3 linked regions of the Drosophila melanogaster genome follow. The protein of the gene in region 3 interacts with the protein of the main gene of each other region in a pairwise test. Each region holds a gene or a part of one and is shown on either strand. Other genes may lie near its edges.

Region 1 (3,889 bases), on a different chromosome or scaffold from region 3:
CATTTCGCTAACGAGGTTCTTTTGAGATTGTATGGGTGTGCGAATTGAATTCGCAGCCGTGCTTGTGTGTATGTGTTTTGTGAGGCGGCAAACGCAATTCTACATAATGTGGAGAAATTGCTTGCATCATCAACAACAGCAAAAACAAATGTCTTGCCCCCGCCAATTTCGTTAGCAAAATTTCTAGCGTATTATAATGGAATGATGTTTAGCTTGAGGTCGTATCAAGAAGATCTGATAATTACCTGTTTTTGACAGTAAAGGTGAACTCGCGGAAAGATGTATTTGCTCTTCCTGTTTTGGAATTATTTTAATTCAATTTAAATGCACAGGCAGCGAACACTCCAATCAGAAACAGTGCGTCCGGCGATCTGTTCGAAAAAACAGTTGGCACCAATGAGCCTAAAAAAGCCACTCGTTTTTAAAATAAATACCATTTGGTATATACATACCAGATTCACGATATAACATTTGGGGTCTTCGGAAAGCTTTAAATTTTATTTAAAGCAATTTGTAATAAAGCCTAAAACATATGCTCCTTATTTATCCTCATTTATTCAGTTGCGTAAAGTATTATTTTTAATAGAACAAACTTATATTTTTAAAATTGGTTTGTGATTTTTGTTATTTTTTAGCTTCTTCTTAGCAGCGGTAGCCATTCGCCCGGAACCGTTTGTTTTTGTTTTGCTTTTCACGGTAAGCGTGTTGTTTTTCTCGATTTAATTGAATTTTAAATAACAAATTTTCGAGAATAGAAAAATGGCCACTGAGGTGTCGCAACTTTTGCTGGCGGTGGTCCAGGGCATCCCAGCCGGTGCCACCAACGATGACCTGACCAAGGCGCTGCCCGATGTGCCGGCGGCCACGCGGGTGGAAGCTTTGAATATACTGCTGCAGGAGGGCGGGATCGAGATCCTGAAGAAGGGTGAAAAGCTGGTGTACCGTGCCAAGGACCCGGAAAAGAAGAGTGCCCTGCCCAAGGATGCGGACAATGAGGAGAAGGTCGTCTACGGCATTGTTGAGGAGGGCGGCAACAAAGGCATCTGGATTAGGGATATACGTATGAAGTCCAACCTGAACATGATACAGCTCAACAAGATCCTCAAGAACCTAGAAACCAAGAAGCTCATCAAGGCGGTCAAGTCGGTGAACGTAGGTTCTATGATCCCATATTCCAAGTTCAATGTGATTCCAAATTTTCTTCGCGCAGGCCAGCAAAAAGAAAGTGTACATGCTGTACAACCTAGAGCCGGATCTCTCCATTACGGGAGGAGCCTGGTACCAGGATCAGGACTTTGAGGTGGAGTTTGTGGATGTGCTCAACCAGCAGTGCCTGCGCTTTCTGCAAATGAAACGCGACAGTGCGGAAAAGAAGCGCGAGGGGCCACTGGCCTTCAAGCAGATGTCTTGCTGCACGGTGAACGAGGTTCAGAAGTTCATCTCGGACTTGGGCATCAGCAAGGTTAATCTGGCGGAGGCCGATCTGGAAACAATTCTCAAAACAGTGGTGTACGACGGCAATGCGGAGCGAGTGCGCCAGCAGGATGGATCCTTCGTCTACCGGGCGGTGAACGCCCCACTTCCTCCGACTGGTCTGGTCCAGATGCCATGTGGCATTTGTCCCGTCATCAAAAACTGCTCCAATTGTGGCGATGTAACTGCTATAACTTGTGAATATATGCGAGATTGGTTGGATTAGGGATTAGCTCGAAAACTCTGGATTTTATTTTATATTAAGTATTACAAATTGAACTTATTGTTTATTAAGCTTTTTGTAGCACAAACATTATTAACTCTTAAATGTTATGGTTACCATAAAAAAAAGGAAAATTTGAAACCGATTTTTTAAATCGCAAACACATATCGTATTTCATCATTCATCGCTACGATATTCGCAGAATATGTCAGCTGGTTGCCAATCGCCCGGAACGCATGAACAGATACGTGGCTGTTGAATATGTGAATGAAAACTCGAAAATTCCGACAAAAGCTGCGAAACGAAATAAAATTTAATTTTATTGAGGCGTTATTATGCGATAGCTGTCCCAAGGCCGCCAAGTGCAATTCCTCCGCCGCCTTAGGAACCCCGAATTTAAGGAAATGGGTTTGTGCAAGTGCCCCAAGCGCCTGGTGACCAACCAGTTTTGCTTTGAGCATCGAGTCAATGTTTGCGAACACTGTATGGTTCAGTCTCATCCAAAGGTAAGGATTCCTGTCCTCTAGTTTTATGGATGCTTGGAATACACCATATCCACTCTTTTTCAGTGCATTGTGCAGTCGTATCTGCAGTGGCTGCGGGACAGCGACTACATCTCCAACTGCACTCTGTGCGGCACCACATTGGAGCAGGGCGATTGCGTGCGCCTCGTCTGCTACCGTAGGGATCTGCCAGTTTTGAGCTAATCCAGACACCACACACTTACCCATAATCCTGCCATTTCCAGATGTTTTCCACTGGGACTGCCTGAACGCCCGCCAAGCCGCACTGCCTGCCAACACAGCCCCTCGGGGTCACCAGTGCCCCGCCTGCAGTGTGGAGATCTTTCCCAACGCCAACCTGGTCTCCCCGGTGGCCGATGCTCTGAAGAGTTTCCTGTCGCAGGTTAACTGGGGCAGAAATGGCCTGGGACTCGCCCTGGTAAGCATTCCGGGCAGTAAGCTTGTAATCAATTTAAATGTTGAATCTTTCCCAGCTCTCTGAGGAGCAGAGCAGCAGTCTGAAGGCCATTAAGCCCAAGGTGGCAAGCCAGGCGGCTGTCAGCAACATGACCAAAGTGCACCACATCCATTCCGGTGGCGAGCGAGAGCGCACGAAGCCCAATGGCCATGACGCCGTGAGCCCACATTCCGTGCTCCTAATGGATGCATTTAATCCCCCAAGTGCGGGCGACTACGGTGCGCATAATCTAGCATACACTTTGAGTCATATTATAATTATAATCTTACGCACCTGCAGCCAGCAGCAGAAGACCGCTGCTGCCCCGTCAGTCGCCAATTGGTGGGACAGATCGAGACGATAATAAGTACCAGCGCCGCACTCCTGCGGAATTGTTCTCGCGATGGACACGCCGCTTCTATGCGCCCTCCTCGCGGCCGCCGTGGCGTCGCACTTGGTTCCTGGTGACCGCCGGCATTTTGGCCTTTGTCTTGTTCGTCTATCTTATGGCCTGGCTGGGTCGCGGAGGATCTGATGCCGTGGACGAGGGCTGGAATAACCCCAATCCACAGCCGAACCACTACGAATAGGGTGTGCATTCACGGTCGAAATAAGCATACGTAGCATATAATCGATATCCAAGTCCCCGATTCCGAAAGAATAAAACTTTTACAGCTATTTATATAACCTAACATTGCAAAGCGAAATAATACAACGACAAAGAACGATTTTTACTCGCAGATCATCTATCTAGTCAACATGGGGTTTCAATGTCTGGACTTGACTTCCCTCGGCGGGCGGGGTGCGCTTAGCCGGCGTCGATGGCTGCGGCTTACGTTTGGGCGCGTCCAAGACCTCATCGTACTCGTGCAGCTTCTTGGCCAGGAAGTACATCTCAGCCAGGGCTATGATGAGCGCTACAATCACGCCCAGCAAGATGCGAAAGCCGAAAGGCAGCGGGCCCACCATCAAATTGACGCCGAAAAAGCCGAACGTAAAGCCAGCGGCCACGGAGAAGATGAACTGCACCACGGCAATGATTTGCTTGTTAAGGCTCTTAACTGAAAGGGAAGGGAAGAAGAAAAAGGTTTTAAAAGGGCGGATCTAACAAGCTGGGCGTATTCACTTACTCTGATAGCTGATAGTGTCCTCTGGATAGTGTTTTAAGCCGGCATCCACATTCTTGGTCATTTTGAGGTAATCCCGATTTTGTTGCTCTGCGCGAAGACGTTG
Region 2 (7,827 bases), on a different chromosome or scaffold from region 3:
TAGCAGTTAGTCGAAACTAGTCTAGTTAAGTTGAGAACTTGAAAGTGGTGGGGGGTCTGTGCGTCAGTGGCACTTACATGTTCGCTTGGCGCTCGGAAAACAGGCGTTGGAGGGCGTCCAGTCCACTTGTGGCCGCCCTCGCAACTGGCTGTTAACTCCATGCCGAGTACCTGCACCAATATTCGATTATTTACGGCAAAGATCTACGTACTCAAAGGTGCTATACAGGGTATATAATGGCATACCGTCAGTTCCTGTTCAGCGCTTAGATCCCGCCGTTTCCTGGCTCCCTTCGCCACGGTCTCCTGCTCCGGATTTTGGTCGGTGCTGCTTGCATGTCCATTGGATAGGTTCTGCTTGTCTAGTGGTTGCTCCCTCGTTTTTTCGTTGTCGTTTTTCTGCACAGGATACACAGGATATAATACGGTTAGAGAGGACACTCTCGAAACAGTCAGTAGAATGTGAGAGCTAAGCAATTCTATACAGCCTCAAAACGCAAGAAATCAGAAATCGAACGCATTAATTACTTCAATTCGTTGTGGTTAGGTGAAACGCAACAAAACTCAATTAGTCGAAGGATCTTGGTTAATAAACAAAAAGATTAAGTTCTTGTTACAAATTATATGTTCAAGGATTGCCGTGCCGGACCCTTTGAAGGTCTCTAACCTTATTCGAATCAGTTTCAGTGTCGCTCGTCGCCCTCTGCTTGTCTTGGCCATTCAATTGCTCGTCGGCCGCGTCTATCAAACCTTGTATGGCCGTAACAACTAGCCCCATGAAAGTACAGGGTATCAATTTGGGATTTACATTCATTTTTTTTTTTGTGTTTTTGCGAGAAACATGAAAAACGTAGAAACGACACAGAGAGTGAATATTTATATAGTTGTTTCTTTGTAGCTCTGAGTATGAAATGATGTTTGCGATTATCTTTATTGGCAATGTAAAGTTACGTATAGTGTTCGAATAGATTTCGAATAAGACTGCTTTGAATCGTAAAATATGTCCCCATCATAAGAGTTTAGTTTAGTTCAGATCGAGAGTACTCAGTGAGATGCAAACACATTTAGACTGGGTTCGTTAGTAGATACGAGTATGTGAAAAGATATGTTTATATATATATATATATATGCATATATCGCATGCCGACAGCAGACAAGCAGGTTAAATTAGAAACAGAGTCGGGAGAATTCCGTTCCATGCACTTGTTAGACTTGAAGATTAAGGACAGAGTGACATAGTTTTAGAACTGAAGGCTTTTTTTGGGGGGGAGGATGTGGCAGGGGGGTAAAAGAAACCATTCCGAGGATTCAGCTATTCACTAGAAACCAATTGAAAACAGAAATAATCTAGTTGACTTTGTTCGTTGTACTTAGTTGTGATCTGAGTTGTTGTTGGTCTGATTTTGGTCTGTTTTACTGACTGATTCTATGTGAACTGAATGATGGTTATTATTGTCTTAGAAGTTTGGCTGCCGCTTGAGAAACTTGAGGGCAATCATCTTGAAAATGAGAACACAAAAGAGATCAAATATTAATTCAAATGACAGCGAGATGGTCCAACTGAAATCACTACGATATATGATGTGCTACTAGATGTATCTGAGTCGCGTTGTATAGCTATATCTGTATCTGTATCTGCTTTTTTCCGATTCGATGACGATGGTAGGAAGCTACTGGATACTGGATGCTGGATGCTAACCTTTGCCTCATACTGATCGGTGTTCATTTCGGCCACCAACTGGGCCATCGCCCGCTCCGTGCTCTCGAGTTTCTGGCGCAGCTTCTCGATCTCCATCAGCTGCTCGGCCTCCTTCAGCTGCTGGTGGCTCTTCAGAGAGGCGGACAAACTGCTCGCCACCTCGGTGGCCGACACACTGGCGTTGTACAGCTCCTTTTCGGTGTCCTTGGCGGCCGGCTTCTTTGCGGCGGCAGTGGCGGTGGCAGCTCCTATAAAATTGTCGTACGGTTTGGTAATCAGGGCCGGAAATCGAATCAATCGAGGGACTAACGAAACTAAGGAGTATTTACACGGGTGCAGGAGTGGCAACAAAATAAATGTATATATCCATGGAAGCGTGATCAATTCGGGGTTAGTATATATATATATTTATAAATAGTATATAGGCACACAACATCTAGAATGAGTACATCTAGGTAAATGAAATAGAACACATAGTCGCTACGATACTACGATACCAAATGAGGAGGACATATTTCAAAACTCAAAAGGCCTTTGTCGAGGTCTAGAAACTCAAGATACGAACGAAACTCTATGGTCATCTATGCAACCATCTATATATATCTGGCTTACTTGTCTGATGCTCTCGCCAGCCTGATACCGTGGCATGATTTTCGGTGTGCATGGGTTTTTTTGGAAGCAGAAGAGTACAAAATGCGATTTTTTTTCGGTTAGGATTGAATCGTGAGTGCGGTGGCTAGAGCGATTGTGTGTGTGTGTGTCCAACTACGAGTGTAATAATCCGGAAGATGGCATCCGAATTGGCCTGGCACTCACCCAGTTTGCTGCCGCCCAAATCCTCCACCTGGCTGTGGTTCTGTGATCCGAAGACCTCCTGCCGGAAGGCAGGATTTGGAGGCGCCGCTCCGTACGGATCATTGGGAACTTGCTTCTTGAACATAATCTGCATGTAAGAGTTTTATAGTATTATAATTACATATATACGATCAAAGAGAGTCACCTTCATTAGGGTGTAGCCGAAGAAGACTACGATGCCAATGGTGTAGAGTGGCATTAGGAAGCCCATGCTGCTGCCCCGCTGTTGTGGCTGATGCAGTGCACCGGCGCCCATGGGTGGACGCATTCCAGGAATGGGTCCAGGCTAGAAAGTACATACATATGTCAAAAGTTACTGAAATACAATAGAATGCCGCCAACAATCAAGGTCATATTAAATGTATCAGGTATACGCCCCGGTGGTTTCTTAAGTCAATTGTCTTTAGATATTTTTGAACTGATCGAATATGTATATTCTATTGTCCTATGTAATCATAAAAATTACGTATCCGCCGCGATGTATATTGACATAAAGATTACTCAAGACAGTTGTCTTCGAAATCTTTTGAATTGATGTCTTTGTAGGAGAAGGGAATCGATTGTGTTTTATTGACAACCCATGTAATCATTAAAATTACGTATCCGCCCCGTTGTATTTTGACATGAGGCGAGGACAGCTGATTTGTGCTCCCCGGCCATTCTAGCATTCTAGTAGCGATGAGAGCAAAATGGAACTGGCGCACTGAATTTGGCACAAGTTCAATACGCAGCAGCACATTCGGCCGATCTCCCACTCATCATTTACAAATTCTTTTTTTGTGTTTTCTTTAGCGCTGTCTCTTGCCTTCAATTTGCGTGCAGTGTCATAAAAACAAAACCCGAATCCGAATAAAATAAACGTTTGGCTATTTATAAATGACTTCCAACGCGAGCGCGGATATGTCTCATCCCGCCGTCATTATAATCACATCGACCACAGCCCGCCGACCAGTATAACTATATATATTATAATTATGGATTTATCGTCCGGAGAATAATGCACACCGTATGGTTAAATGTATAGTAGCCCAACTCACCCGTCCGTCGACAATCCGCGGAGGCGGATTACTGGGCGAAGTCTTTCGTTCTAGAATCGGCACGGTGGGCGTGGCGGGAATGGCGCGACCCCGCTCCCTCATGGCCTGGTATATGGATTCCGGATGCAGGTGGGCGGGACGCTCCTGGCGCAGACCTGCGACCACAATGGATTCATTAGTAACACAATTAAACTATCAAATTTTTAATTGACATAAACACTACATTTTAGAAACCCAAACATTAATAAACTCATTAATACCGTAAAGGTTAGGAATCTAAATGTATCTCAATCGATTGTTTCATGTAGATACAATCTTGTTAGTAGAGCCAAACACCGTTAGTAAAACCAATAAGCAAATTATAAATAATCGAGCCACATACTTATTTCGCCCGTGTAAACATTGATTTGCTTGCGATACAAATGCGGACCGAAGGGCTCGACAGTGTCCTTCTTCGTGGCATTCAGAAACTGCTCCCTGTCCAGGACGACATCACAACATCCTACAACATCGACCGGACAACAACAACACCCACATACGGAAATCAAAAGAAAATCATGATGATAATTCATAAATAATAAATGATAAATGAAATTAAGTAAAGTACAACATTTATAAGCCCTAGCTCCTAATGTGGTGAATAGAATCTGATGACTTACCGCCTGGTGCTGCTCGTGGATCCTTGAAGTTTGGCTGGCTTGGAGGCACTCCTCCGAACATCATGGGATGGAAGACCTTTGGCCACAGGATGGCAATGCATCCGATCACGGTTACGATGATCAGGGCGGTCTTCTTGGGCGTCATGCCCTCCTCGACGAGCGGAGCTCTCGGCTTGGATGTGGCTGTAGCGGGCATTTTGGCTTGGTAGCGGATTCCGTGGGCTATCTGGATTCGTTTGGCTATGGGTTCGTGGTTAAAGCTAGTCCCTAAGGCAACTCTGCTATGTGTTCCTGATCGATTTGGTTCGTTGATGGCTCCCTGCGAGCTGTTGACTATGCGCTGTGTTTCTAGTTGCTGTTTAACTTTGGCATTGGCTCATTTTGGCTGGCTAATGGTTGATTTGCTGTACGTTTAAAGCATTATCTGAAAGATACATAGATGCATAATCGGTTACACGCTACAGTTCGCTGATTCCGGCTTTCGTTGGAGTTGTATTCACATCACTGATCGGTCACGAATCGCAGCGCAAAATGCTGTATACGTTTGAATATTGTTGCGGGAAAACAAAAAAGTTTATTACATAAATAGCGGTCCCGATCTTTTTTATTTTTAGCTCGCGCAATTCGCTCTTTTCGGCCCGTCTAATAATTCTTTATTATTTTCACTTTTCCCACCGCACAAATCACAATTAACGACCGCATAAATAATATTGAACGTTTCTCCAAAAGAAAATGCTTTCGTATCGCTTTTGGAAAACGGTTTTTGAACGACCAAGGGTTCGAAAAAAAATGAAAACAGAAAACTGGACAGAGCGACTGCTTACGCAAAGTTCGAATGTTGTTCCCGAACTGGCCAGGCAAATTTTTGAAACTATTAGCGAATTTTCGGCAGATCAGATCTGAAGACCCGACACACCATTCGGGCGCGCTTTTCCCCATAATCGTCGTCGGCCATTATTTTCCTTTATTTTTGATGAGACAAGTGATTTGCAGCTTGGGCCTGCACCGGGAATTTCCGAGAGCTACGCTACAGCAGCCGACATAACATTAATGCTCTCTAATTCATTTCGGAAATAGATTTTAAATCAAAATACATATAACTGCTTGGGAAATTGGGCAAACTTAATTTGAAATATTTCAGCAAAAAAATTTTATAATATAATTTTAAATTTAATTTTTTGAGCTATTGCTGCTGTTTTGCTGACCAGCACTGTGTGCGAAATTTCGTGTTTTCATATTTTTCATTTCGCAGCTTCTTCGCTCTTGTTATCACACACGCACACACACACTGCCAAGTGCTATGAGTTTTCCGACCGTTTTCCATTTCGCTTTCAAGCGCACTGACTGAAAAGTGGCGAAAGTAAAATTGTTTTTACTATGCACGTCTGTTATTTGCACAGCATCTTCTTATTTCCACCACTTTTATTTTAAAAATTTCCCTCTTCTTGTCACTGTCTACATTAATTTGGAAAACGTTTTTCGAGCTCTCTGCGCTTTTATTTTTGGAGGCACAGCATTTGTAATTTGGGTTCAATGCCGTTCGGCTTAAGACTCATCACTTATTTTTAAAAATTATGAATTCAAAGTGTGGAGATTTTGTCCTTGGAATTGCTCTCGTGTTCTGAGGTACCTTTTAAATAATTATCAGTTTCGTTTTTAAAGACTAACACCTTTGGTTTCAAAGTTCGTTTTCTTATCTAATTACGCTAATTTCAAACTGTTTGTTTGTCGTTATAAGTTTCTCTGCCAGAAAGCAGCAGCAATAATAATTGATTTTTCAGTCGACCGAACGGAGATGGGCAGCATTGGCTGTCAATCGATGCATGCGAGTGCTATCGATACTTTTCTATCGTTTAAAGTTAACGGATCCTTTACACTGATAGAAGGCTTATGGGATTTAATAAATTTTTGTATATTTGTAATTGTTTTAAATGGAATCACATTATTATTAATATATAAAGGTCAAATATATATTTGGTTCGTAAAATGGTTACTTTATTATGCATTATTATGATGTTAAACTAGACTAACTATATATAACTAAGGATCAACTAAGGATCCAATATAACGGTAATACGTAAAATGCGGAATATACAAATATTAATTCGCTCAGCACTGTTGCCCTTTATCGAAATTAAAATTATTCGATTTATCGATAGCATCGTGAGTGGTCCACCCAGCTCCAATGTTTTCGTCTTCTTTGTGTTATAAAATTAACAATTTATAAATACGCATTTTCCGCTGGACCACCGAATATCGTCGTGACTTTGAAGAATCACAGTGCTATCAATCCTCGAAAGCAAAAGGTTGTAAAATCGAAAGTGAACGCGCGCCTGGCGTGACTGGTTTCTAGGCTTTCACCCCACGAAACTGGAGCTAACAATGGACAGCGAGTCGTTGGCCTGTTCGTCGGTGGAGAAGGACCTGACCCGAGTGGTCAGCAAACTGGAGCAGCTTCACGAGAACGCAGAGGCGGACATCGGAGATATAGCCACACAGATGTCGGAGCTGGTAGAGGTTCTCAGCAGGGCGGAGCAGCTGGTGACCACTCTGAACTCGAGCACCCAGGTGTCCCAGGACGATCCCATGGGCGATGCGGTGAGCATGCAGGTGGAGACGGAACCGACGGCACCACAACGCCTAACCGAGCGCCAAGTGGAGAGCGTCCGGAATGCTCTCGCCAGGTGCCACGAGCGCGTGCAAAAACTGTCCACGGAGCACCGCGATCTGCACGGCTCCATTTCGAAGATCGGCAAGGCCATTGACCGCAACTTTAGCGCCGACTTCTCGTCCACCATGCGAGTGGACGTGCTGCAGGACGAGGAGAACCTGATGTTGCTGAACAAGGCCATTGCCAAGCATTATTGTCGCCAGGGCATGGACGATGTGGCTCGCACGCTAATCCGCGAGTGCAAGATGTCGCCGGAGCATGCCCAGGATGTGTTCGACTCGGAGCGCGAGTTTGCCGACATCTACGGCATTTGGGTGAAGATCCAAAAGCGGGATCTGACTGACGCCCTCAAGTGGGCAAAGATGTACTCCCAGCAGCTGAGTGACCGCCACTCGCTCATAGAGTTCCGGCTGCACCGCATGCGTTTCATGCAGCTGGTCTCCTACGGATTGGACTCGCAGCGCGAGGCCATCTCCTACGCTCGACTGAACTTCAAGAAGTTTGCTGTGCGCTATGAGCACGAAATAGCCAACTTGATGGCCAGCTTTATATATCTGCCCAGTGGACTGGAGAACTCGCCTTACAAGCACTTCTTGGGCCAGGAGAAGTGGACCGAACTGTCGTTCATATTCCTCAAAGACGCATGCCAACTGCTAGGCATTAGCAAGAACTCCGCCCTGTCTGTTGTGGTCAATGCCGGATGCACTGCCCTGCCCGCCTTGCTCAATATCAAGCAGGTGATGCAGTCGCGCCAAGTCCTTGGCATGTGGAACGGCTGCGACGAGTTGCCCATTGAGATCGATCTGCAGCCGGAATTCCGATTCCACTCGATCTTTGCCTGCCCCATATTGCGCCAGCAGACTTCCGAGGACAATCCGCCGAAGAAGTTGACCTGCGGTCATGTCAT
Region 3 (4,320 bases):
ATTAGATTTCAAGAGCAAATTAACAGGTGATTTTTTTATTTTTATATTTGTTTTGAATTCTCCACTTGGAACGCTTCTGATAGGCTAATCTCCGAAAGCTTTTTCAAGTGGCTTGTTTTACGGCCTGAGTTAAATGTTATACGAAGTTTTGTGATTATATTTCGTTTCACTCATTAGATAAATCATTAGATGCACTGTAAAAAAGAAAATACAACTGAGATACGAAATCGTTTAAATAGGTATAGGAATCACATAACTATTATACAAATTTGTTGAGTTTTTTAAATCTTAATTTTAATGATTTTATTTAATTTTCTTTTTCTTTTGTGTATATGAATTAATTATAAACTAAAAAAGACACACAGATGATGTTTGAATTTTAATTTTAAAAACAATTAAAAAATGTTCTAAAATAAAACCTTTATTTAAAGAGCCTATTTAAATTTGTGTACAAGCTTCTATAAATTCATTCACTCAATCATTTAAAAAACCACATAGATAAATATAAGCTTTAACTAATTTAATTATTGTAAAATGAAGACAATAGTTATATGAGTTTTTTAAATTTTATTAATTTTTTCAGTTGTTTAGAAGTTTTATATTTTAAAGCTAGAATAAAAAATGTTTAGAGTTATTTATCACATATATGTTTTTTGAATCACATCCGTGTGCTGCTCATTAAAAAAAATGTTAATACTAAATTAAAAGTTTCGTTCGACCACGTTGGCCGGAACTTCCGGTTCATATGGAGTTTCCTCGTTATCCTTGAGAGCCAGTTTGTCCAACTCGGCCTGGCCATACCACTTCCTCTTAATGGTAAGTAAGATGCCAACTGCTATAAGAATGCAGCCCAGGCACAGGAATCCCACTCCAGTATATCTCCCTATAGCCGGTAGATTCAGTGCCAACTAAAAGACAAAATGCATTATTTAAAATAGAAATCAACGTAGTTCAACAAGCTCTAAAACATACCCTAAGTTCTGAGGCGAGGGCTTCGTCGATTTCCGCTCGACTAGCAGTGGTAAAAAGTGGTGCATAGAAGCTGGGCAGGCCCTTCAGTATGCTAGGAAAAAATGTGTTTATCAAGTCATATATATGGTAGGCAACAATTATTGTAAATAATTACTCTATAACGCTGTCTGGCTCTATGTACAAGGTAATCATCACATTGGCATTGACCTTCAACGGCACTCCCATCTTGCGCTCCATGATGATATAAAAGTTATTTTGATCGTAATTCGGATTGTAGCCGCTTATCGTGCTGCCATAACTTTCGTCCGCGTACATAAAATGATCCGCAGAAAGGTACATGGGAACTCCATCGGCACACGGTCCTAGGTCAGTGGCTCCGGTTGCAGGACAATTATCTGGCTGGCGCTCCAAAGGACACCAGCACTTCGCGTTACCATTGATCTGTCCATTGTCGAAGGTATTCGGCGTTATCTCGTACTTCCAACCCGTGATGCCCTGAATTGTTTCGCTCTGTCCGGTGAACTCAAGATTTATGATCCGACAAGTATCCGGAATGAAGATGGTCAAAGCCTTCTCCTTGGGCTCATCGGGCACAAAAAGATCCGTGGTGCTGCCATTGAGACGTCCACATTCTCCATCGTACCATCCCGTGTGATTCTGGCCCTTCCAATACTTAATTTCACCCATCTCCTTGATGTCACCCACTCCGGTGTGTACAGTGAAGGGACCCTCGAAGTCCTTCGATCCGTTACGGTTGAGGAACCAGGCAAAGTGATCCGACTCGATTTTTGGGACCAATGGATTATTCAGGGTCATGGCGTAATGCAAAAATTCGTCGTAGAAACTTTCGAACAGCCATTCAGCTGCCGTGTGGGTCACAAAGAGATGTCCACCATTCGCATTTAGGGCCTCGTTGAACATGAATTTCAGGAAGACGTTGCTATTCCGCATTTGGTTTGAAGCAGCCTGCAAAAAGTGAAAAAGGAAAACTTCTTTTAGACCAAATTGTTTTTTAATAACTGCTTATTTCCTACCAATGAAGGTAAATGTGGGGCGGTAATTAAATCCGTTTGCTTGCCGCCAGAGAGCTCCTCTTCCCAGAACCAAGTTCTTCTGGGGTTAAAGGTAACTGTGCCATTGTCGTGCCACTCAAGATCCATCTTCTTCCTCTCCTCTCGATAAACATAGGGTCCAAGTTGCGCGAAAATAGGTTTTACTCCATTAGCCTGCACATCTGCGGCATTTGTCCAGTTCCAAAGATACATGTAGACATACACCGGAATGGGCAGCTCCTCCCATTTTTCAAAAGTCTTTGAAGTGGGTGTCAACGGCAAGGCCTTTTTAATAAATCGATTAGTACTCCTCCTTAATTTTATTTTTATACACCGCCTCTCACCTTCATAATCCCTGAGTCTATAAAGCCAGGCCAGCATATTATGGCCAGGAGTCCGGAGACCGCGAAAAAGGTTCCCAGGCCGAAGACCCAGGCCTTTTGTTGGGTCACCCCACAGCAGCTGCAGCACATATTGAGAGACGAAACAAAGGCTTTCGAGCGACTGCAAAGTGGAAAAATATCGCTCGAGTTTTTATTCATGCGTCGCTTAGTAGATTATCCACTAGTAAATAAAGCAGCGGCTAATCATCATGTCTACTGTGGTAATCAGCTCGGTTTGGTTTGCTCAACTTATTCTGTGGGGTGATTGGGATCTAAGTGTGTGTTTAGAGTACCAAAAATCCTGATAAATGCAAAACGCTGCACTTAGTTTATTGAGAGTGCTGGCTAATCAGCCAGACTAGCAGTAGTAGCTATTTCATGCTGCCACGTACCAAATACCACTTGGTAACTAAATCAAATTTAACGATACATGGTACAATTTTATTTATAATAGTATATAAAAGTAATTAGGTACATTTTTATTTTAGGAATTAAGTTTCGTTTATCAGTTCTTAAGTTTTTAATAGCATGCCAGAGTGCTTCCTAATTCGCATTATAAATTAACTTGAAGCTAGTTGATTAAACTATTAATACGGTCAACTATTTTTGCCTTGACGCTCGCCCATCTTATCGGTTATATAGCATGTATGCTTAAATTAGTATTTGCAATGCAATTTTTATGGTCAGCCACTATAAAAGATCACTTCCAAAGACGGCAATCTAATCTTCCTTAATGAAATTCGATTAATCCCATTACGCAAAACCATTTTAAACTCATTACCCACCTGGTCTGCCGAAATGTTGGCAGCGTGATTGATCAGTATTTCAACCCTGACTATTGGAAAATTTTGATTAGAGTGGCGTTATCGTTAATATTGGGTGCTTATTAAAAGTGGGACTGCAAACATTCACAAATTAAATGGATGCGTTTGAAGTGTGTTCGCTTAAATTTTACGATTTCAAAGTCCAGCAAGAAGCTCACCATATTATATCAATTATTGTCCATTTTCCTTACTCGAATTCAGTTCAGTAAACTTCCTCCAGCATAGTGGCCAAGTATTAATTAGGCTGCTCCTCGGCTTTTCAGAGTAGCAATAATTGGAATTACTAAGCCACAAATGCAAGACCCACTATTAGTAATTGAATAGATTGCACTGGCTTCTGTTGATTTCCCCATTGCACTTCAATGTACATAATCAGCAGACATTGCAAGATATCAAATACTACGAAATGCCTTCGTAAGCACATTATTAAATATTTAGTGCGCATTCCATACAAACTTTCAATGCTGGAGCCTTTTCAAATACACCGTGCTAAATTCAATAGAATACTCCAAAATACATACATAAACTCTGTTCATATTTAATTGTTAGTTGAGTTATAAATATAATACACATACACACATACAATATATGGATATTGGATTTGCTATATAGGAAAAGTACGACGACTGCAGTTCAGAACATTTCAGCAACATCAGCATTTTTTAGGATCTACAAAAATCGGTTTGACTTGTAGAAATACGCCATTTTTTTCGTTGGTTGAGGTAGCCCTTTCAGTTTAGGCCTCAATGGAGCCCTCGGCTTCCAGTTGGGCCTTGCGACTTGGCTGTAAATAATTGATTGCCTTTCAATAACTATTCAAATATTTGGGCACACCTTTTATTACCTTCGGGTGCATCAGAATAAATGGTAGCTCAGCGCAGAGCTCGCCGCCCAGGGCTCCCAAGAAAAGCTTGACCTTCACAGCATATGAAACAATTATGCCAAAGGCATCCCTCGCATCCTGACTGGCAATACTGAAATAGAATTTTAAATATGCATTTTTCACTTAGTATTAGTATGCGTTTTATGCCATTTTGTAAACACATTTAGCTAAAGAACTGTTAGTCACCGGGAAAATACGATTTTTAA

The links.
Region 1: the proteins of ninaD (region 3) and CG5382 interact in a two-hybrid assay, tested with the Drosophila melanogaster proteins (one large-scale study listed by BioGRID).
Region 2: the proteins of ninaD (region 3) and RIC-3 interact in a two-hybrid assay, tested with the Drosophila melanogaster proteins (one large-scale study listed by BioGRID).

Annotation. Positions count from the first base shown.
Region 1 is NT_033777.3:22,364,025-22,367,913, reverse strand, and holds CG5382 (uncharacterized protein), read left to right. Parts: upstream 1-1,930; 5' UTR 1,931-2,100; coding exon 2,101-2,202; intron 2,203-2,265; coding exon 2,266-2,377; intron 2,378-2,444; coding exon 2,445-2,638; intron 2,639-2,693; coding exon 2,694-2,895; intron 2,896-2,956; coding exon 2,957-3,246; 3' UTR 3,247-3,341; downstream 3,342-3,889. Other genes in the region: Polr3F (RNA polymerase III subunit F), read left to right, coding at 760-1,152, 1,211-1,699; CG7071 (uncharacterized protein), read right to left, coding at 3,407-3,717, 3,787-3,889.
Region 2 is NT_033778.4:21,016,005-21,023,831, reverse strand, and holds the start of RIC-3 (RIC3 acetylcholine receptor chaperone), read right to left. Parts: upstream 6,049-7,827; 5' UTR 5,880-6,048; intron 5,688-5,879; exon of another isoform or gene 5,564-5,687; intron 5,101-5,563; exon of another isoform or gene 5,074-5,100; intron 4,770-5,073; exon of another isoform or gene 4,750-4,769; intron 4,674-4,749; 5' UTR 4,446-4,673; coding exon 4,250-4,445; intron 4,093-4,249; coding exon 3,973-4,092; intron 3,746-3,972; coding exon 3,591-3,745; intron 2,840-3,590; coding exon 2,699-2,839; intron 2,642-2,698; coding exon 2,515-2,641; intron 2,332-2,514; coding exon of another isoform or gene 2,311-2,331; intron 1,947-2,310; coding exon 1,699-1,946; intron 1,499-1,698; coding exon of another isoform or gene 1,457-1,498; exon of another isoform or gene 1,370-1,456; intron 768-1,369; coding exon of another isoform or gene 667-767; intron 399-666; coding exon 246-398; intron 171-245; coding exon 78-170; intron 1-77. Other genes in the region: Sou (souji), read left to right, coding at 6,632-7,827.
Region 3 is NT_033779.5:18,079,842-18,084,161, reverse strand, and holds ninaD (neither inactivation nor afterpotential D), read right to left. Parts: upstream 2,535-4,320; 5' UTR 2,498-2,534; coding exon 2,369-2,497; intron 2,310-2,368; coding exon 2,007-2,309; intron 1,939-2,006; coding exon 1,127-1,938; coding exon of another isoform or gene 1,123-1,126; exon of another isoform or gene 1,066-1,122; intron 1,064-1,065; coding exon 973-1,063; intron 909-972; coding exon 702-908; 3' UTR 554-701; downstream 1-553. Other genes in the region: Arr1 (arrestin 1), read right to left, coding at 3,968-4,015, 4,076-4,205.